Nothobranchius furzeri: one gene and its partner. The protein of the gene in region 1 interacts with the protein of each later gene in a biochemical or structural test. Links are inferred from orthologs where the notes say so. Each region holds a gene or a part of one and is shown in the gene's direction. Other genes may lie near its edges.

Region 1 (2,706 bases):
TTGTGTTCAAGTAAGACCTTACCAACAGATGCCCATTAAAGGGACAACGGAGTTTTGAATTTTTATGCTCGCGATTGCCCCTTTAGGCCAAAAGCGTAACGGCAGCTTCAATAGGAGGCTCGTGCACGAGGCGCACATGCTGTAACGAAAATAACAGCTGAGACTCTGTGAAGCTGACAGTCCCTTGTGTGTGTGTGTGTGTGTGTGTGTGTGTGTGTGTGTGTGTGTGTGTGTGTGTATGTGTGTGTGTGTGTGTGTGTGTGTGTGTGTGTGTGTGTGTGTGTGTTTGTGTGTGTGTGGCCCGGAGGACAGAGGACAGGAGAACGCGCAGCTAATTAATTAAATAATTTGGCTCTGTACCTTTCTCTTCAGCACAGCCGACAAAGGTTTATGATGGGTCAGTCCTCCTGCATGTTCAGATAATTCCATTCCCTTGCTTAAAAAATTGTTCCAAAATGAAAGTTGAACCCACATCTTTTTTATCTGTGAATTGAATGCCATTCAGCGAGTCTCAAATAAAAATTTGGGCATCTTACTGTAAAAAAATAAATCATTAATGTAAAAAAGAAACTCTAAAACAACAATGTTCAATTCCAGAATCAAACCCAGGACTTCTGCACGGAAGTCCAAAATCTTACTAGGCGAGCTAAATCACCGGTGGTGACTTCTGTATCTGTAACATTTATATTCTTGATGACAGCTGAAACAACGTTCAAAGAACGGTTCGGAGGGCTATGCCTGAGCGTGAACGCGCATGAAGCAGCCTGCTTGACCCGAGCAGCTCTCTTTTTCTGTGATTTTACAGAAAAACAGGCAATCACAATAAAAATGCCAGGGCTCATTCTACAGGACCAGGGTATTGCAGGAGAATGTATGAAGAAGAAATTTATTATTTCTATACATGTTTTGGCTGTCAGACTTCCATAATGCCCCTTTAAGGTCAAAAATCCTTGAGAGTGTAACCTCCAGCAAAATAACAAGAACATCAGATTCCTTTTCATCACTTGCAATGAGTGAAGAGGTAATTGTGTAAAAGAACGTTTATTAACTCATTCACTGCCAGCCGTTTCCTGATTGCTAACGGCCTTTGCTGCCAGCGTTTCTCACCGTTTTTACTGTTTTTTTAAGAGTTACAGAACGTTGCGTGCTAGGATGATGTCGACACCAAAACAACCAAAACAAAGCAGAGGCTCACCTCTTACATCAGGAAGAATCCGTGTGTTTTCAGCATTATCTGTTCTTTCATAATCCTTTGTCGAATTGTGATCGGCAGACGCTTTTCCGGTTCGCGCCTCACTTTTTTTACAGGAACGGCCCAAAACAATCTCCTAACACATTGATGTTCTGCTTCCTGATCACGTGACGTGTGACGTATGCGGATGAAGATCGGCTTCAGGGCTGAGATGTTTGTTCTCTCAGCGCGGGGGCTCGTTCTGATTTTGAAACAGTCAAAAAATGCAAATGACGACTTTAGTCGTCATTGGCAGTGAATGAGTTAATGCTGAAATTTTTGTAACCATTTGTTACAAATCAGTAAAACAATTTGTCCCCATGGGCTCTTGTAGAAAGAAACATGGCATCCAATATGGTGTCGCCCAGAGACTTAGACCCAATCCCATGTATTTTAGAACAGATTTTTATGGTTAAATGTTATGAAACCGCCAATATTTTTAAACAACTGAGCATCTTTTAATTCATATACAACATTTCAATGGATATTTCCAGAGAGTAATGGTAAAAACTACACATTGTCACTTTAAAGGGCTAAATCTCGGGTAGTGAGTAAAATACCTTATATTTTAAACAAACAGCCATGAATGATGATTTAGTCAGCCTGTTAGTGCAGGTTTCTGTGAGCAACTAATTGCAGCTTTGATGTGACTTTAAGATTGTCTCTTTTGTCTTTCCCAAGCATTTTGTTTCTTTTTTATTTTACTAACTGCTGAGTGATGTTGCTTCAGTGGCACTAGGAAGTCTCTGACTAGCTGAATAATGTTTGTTCTGCTCAGCATGTGGAAAGCAGCGGAGGTCAGTGTATGGGATGCAGGATCAGAAACGAAGAAAGTCTGGCACACTACTCTCCGTGGTCCTATGGGTCCACCGGGTCCTCCCTGAGCCCGTTTGAGCCTGAAGCTCTCACACACACATCTGCTCACTCTTGCTCGAAGCATCCGGTGAGACTCTTTGCACGCTCACACAATTAGCACACCTCTCAAAGACTAACAAGTTTGTTCACATCCACGTTTTGCACTGATGCGGTTCTGATGCAGGAGTTGGACGGTACTGAAGGAGAAGCTGTCTCCAGGAAACAATGGCTGCACACGTTGGATAACTATAGACGTTTGAAAGAGGAGGATCCCATCATTCCCTTCAGCGAGGCTCCTATTATCTCCAAGTGGGGCGCCATTTCCAGAGCATCCCGCACGGCTTACCACAACACGGACCCGGTCCAAGCTACATCCTGCCAGGGCGGTGCCAACACCACGCCCATAAACTTTAAAGGTTTGGAAAACTGAAAAACTATTTTTAATGATTATTTTGTTATCAGTCACTTTGAGTTTTTCATGCAGGCTGAATATGAAAATAGTCTCCTACACCTATCCCCTACATTAGCTTCTGATAGAAAATAGACTGTGAAACTCCAGGAATTGAAAATCCAGACAGATCTACGGTATGTCACAATGTCACTTAACATTCATCAACCGT
Region 2 (3,829 bases), on another chromosome or scaffold:
CTTCCAGCGGAGTCTCTGGAGGCCATCCTGCAGAGGGATGACCTGGAGGTGAAGTGTGAGGAGTGTGTTTTTGAAGCAGTGATGCGCTGGTTGAGAGCCCGGCAGGATCGATCATCGTTACTGGTCAGGCTGCTCTCACACGTGCGGCTGCCTCTGTTGGAGCCGGCATATTTTGTGGAGAAGGTGGAGTCAGACGAGCTGATACGACACTGCAGTGATGCCTTTTCTCTGCTGCAAGAGGCCCGCCTGTTCCACCTCTCTGGCAGGGAGGTTAGTGTCAGTTCAGATCTTTTGAATGAGGTCATAGACCGTCAGTACTTTACCTCTTCTTGACTGATGTTTGAATGACCTCAGCTTGGAGAAATGGAGGAAGATTCTGACCAGATGAATAGGCCAAAAGTTATTTACAATTTACACAGAATTCCTTCAGAAATGTAATGTTTCTGCAAAAATAACAGTGTCATATAAAACTGGTGGTGGTAGAAATTAGCACTGAAGTTGTTTTAAGGCAACAAAAATCCCCTTTGACCCTCATCTGACCCTTCCACTGGATGTGTAAGTGGGACATAACGTAATAGACACGTTTTACCCACAAGCTCCTTTTCCACTGGGAGCGTTTCAGACAGCAGCGAAAGCATTCCACTGACATGGTCACAAAATCACGAGAGAATTTCAAGATCACGCGGGATTTCATCACATCACATGATAACAAGCAAGGAAAAAAATGGCAGCATGTATCCAAAAAGGTCGGTGGTTTATTTTTTTGTTCTGTTTACCTCAGCTACACAGGTTTCAATGGAAATTATGCACTTTTTATTTAGAAGTCAATCATCTAGAAATCTGATTGTGGTTTTTATTTGAAAGTTTGACTCCCTGTCTGGCCTGATCTGAGCCGCTGAGCTTGACGCCTTCTGAAAGCATAAAAAATAGAGTTGAAAGCCTCCTTTCCACCGGGCATGTAACCATCACGAAGCAGCCGCGAAACGCACTTTGTGACTTTTAGCTGCCACCGACAGCTACTGTAAGTTTAATGTTTTGAATGAGTCTCAACAGGAATGCTATATCATATTTAGAGTCTATTTATTATGTGCTACGCTTCCAAAATACATCAAACTCCACAGTTTAGATCGAGCCAGTCAGGAAGTCGAACACGAAATCAGTGTAAAGCATCCAGAAACTTTCAAAATAAAAGACACATGCTGATAAGTGTACGTTGTTTCCTGTAAAATCTCCGTAGCCAATGTAAACAGAACAGAAAATAAATCGCAGACCTTTTAGGATACACTCAGCTGTTTTTCTCCTTGCTTGTTATTGTGTGGACTTCTGAAATCGCACGTGGTGTTGCAGTTCTCCTGTGATATTATGACTTTGTGGGATCAGCGGCGTGGAATGATTTTTCTCCCACTTGCTGTCTCACAGTTGAAAGTTTGCTCGCGGGTAAAACATCACTATTTTGTTACATGCCACTTTCGCGTTCGTTGGAAAGGAGGCTGAAATGTAAGCAACGCGTTCCTAACTTCTGGAACGCTTCCAAAATGCAACGCTTCACAGCCGGTGGAAATGCACTCACCCGCTGCGTACTACGTTTTGCAAACGTTACGCGACACTTACGTGTCCGGTGGAAAGGCCGGGTATCAACCCAGTCAGAAATAAACTATTTCTCCAAACAGAGGCTATTCAAAGAATTATCTATAACAGGCAAGATGCTGATGAAAAAATAACCTTTTCACTTCGCTTTAAATAATCTGACTTATATATTTAAATCATCTTTTTTCACACATTTCTCTCTCTCGCGGACCTGTTTGAAGGTGGTCTCTGAGCGGACCAAACCTCGTGAGCAGCACTTTTTATCAGAAGTCTTCCTCATCATCGGCGGCTGCACCAAAGATGAGCGTTTTGTTCCCACCGTCACATGTCTGGACCCTCTGAGACGCAGCAGGCTGGAGGTGGCCCGGCTGCCGATGACAGAGATTGAGGACGAAACCCATAGTAAAAAATGGGTGGAGTTTTCTTGCATCACTTTCCACAACGAAGTATACATATCAGGTGAGGGTCGTTCTTAGACTGAGAGTGAAATTCATTCACCGTTTGGTGATTTAACACCTGCTGGGTTTCTGTCAAATCAAAGCTGCACAAAGATCAGAAAATACAAGTGAGCAAAAAACAGGAAGAGCTGAAGTTATCTGCATCAACAACTGTGGTTTAGGGTGTTTCCCACCCAGGAACTGAAACCTCAGGCGTGCTGACTTCAACGGCTCAGGACGATGCACACAGTAAAAGTAGAGAACAGGTCATGAGATTCTGCATCAGAGCAGTACCACCATGGTTCAATGCAAAGCAGCAGGGTCGCTTCAGGATAAAGTACTTCATGATGCATCGGCGACTCAGAATGTTTTTTTCCAAACGATCTTGCAGGAGGTAAAGATACACAGCGTGACGTTTGGAAATATAACGGCGCTCTGGATAAATGGATCCAAATAGAGTCACTGGGAAACGCACGCTGGAGACACAAGATGGCAGCTCATGGTGGGAAGGTGTATGCACTGGGAGGATTTGATGGAGTTCAAAGACTTTCCAGTGTGGAGGCGTATGATCCGTTTCACAACCGCTGGACGCAGGTACCATTCTCTCTTTGAGTTTGCTGTCTTACCCTCTTTTTTCCGTTTGACTCAGATTGTTTCAGGCTTTTTTGAATGTTCTTGCCCCAGGTGACTCCTCTTGCTATGGGTGTGAGCTCGTTTGCAGCAGCAAGCTTTGACAGGTGGATTTTTGTGATTGGTGGAGGTCCCAATGGAAAACTAGCCACTGATAAAGTTCAGCGCTGGGAACCAGGGACAGACAGCTGGGAAATGAGGGCTCCGATCCCCATTGAGACGAAATGCACTAATGCTGTAACCTTCAAGGACCGCATCTATATAGTTGGTAAGATGGAAGGAACTTAAAATCTCAGTTATAAATAAAATATTTAAAATTTACTCAAAATGTGCAATGATTTTGTAACCCCTCATTATGACACCATTTAATCCCTCAAAAGTTGCATTTACTTCATCAGTTTATAGGAAAACATGTTGAAACTGCAATATTTCAGTACATTAGAGGACATTTTTATTTTAAATTAATGCAGTTATTAAATTCTGTGTTTTCAGGTGGTGCCATGCACGCCATGTACTGCTACGCCCCCTTGTCCGACTCCTGGACCCTTGTGGCCCAGCTGGGGGAGAGGGCGAGCTGTGCCATCGCCGCCTGCAACAATAAAATTTTTATCACAGGGGGAAGAGATAACAAGAACCAAGTCATCTCCACAGTGATGTGCTGGGACGTTGAGGGAGCGGTGTTGACGGAGGAGTGTGTTTTACCAATGGGAGTGTCTCACCACGGCAGTGTGACCCTCATGAAGTCCTACACACACATTCTTAGGATAACACCCCCATCAGAGGGCCAATGACACAGGCCTCTCTCAAAGAAAGACTATTACAAGGAATTTGCATTTTTACATGAACACTACGCACTTTAAAATTTTGATTTTTGTTGAACAAAACTTTTAGAATTTTTGAAAATTTTCTAATTCAAATTTTTAATTTTAATGTTTGATCTGATTTAAACTAAGATGGTTCTAAAACAAATGAAAATAGACTAAATCTACTCTTTTACTCAGCCGAAACTCTTTCATTCTTCAGACACAAGAAAGAAGGTAAGAATTTAGGTCAACGTTTGGTATATTTTCAAAATAAAAGTAAATCATTTTTCAGACAGGATGACGTGGTTTTCAAATCCTTAACACACATTTTATGAAAATGCATTATCATGGTTTATTAATTTCCTCACCTTG

What was found.
Region 2: the proteins of rc3h2 (region 1) and klhl6 form a complex in vitro, tested with the Homo sapiens proteins (2 studies listed by BioGRID, with this or other methods). The link is inferred for Nothobranchius furzeri from reciprocal best matches to the Homo sapiens genes RC3H2 and KLHL6.

Annotation. Positions count from the first base shown.
Region 1 is NC_091746.1:50,004,410-50,007,115, reverse strand, and holds part of rc3h2 (roquin-2), read left to right. Parts: intron 1-2,009; coding exon 2,010-2,174; intron 2,175-2,270; coding exon 2,271-2,502; intron 2,503-2,706. UniProt on the Homo sapiens protein: Post-transcriptional repressor of mRNAs containing a conserved stem loop motif, called constitutive decay element (CDE), which is often located in the 3'-UTR, as in HMGXB3, ICOS, IER3, NFKBID, NFKBIZ, PPP1R10, TNF and in many more mRNAs.
Region 2 is NC_091754.1:23,540,008-23,543,836, reverse strand, and holds part of klhl6 (kelch-like protein 6), read left to right. Parts: coding exon 1-270; intron 271-1,808; coding exon 1,809-2,046; intron 2,047-2,415; coding exon 2,416-2,618; intron 2,619-2,708; coding exon 2,709-2,922; intron 2,923-3,146; coding exon 3,147-3,445; 3' UTR 3,446-3,829. UniProt on the Homo sapiens protein: Involved in B-lymphocyte antigen receptor signaling and germinal center formation.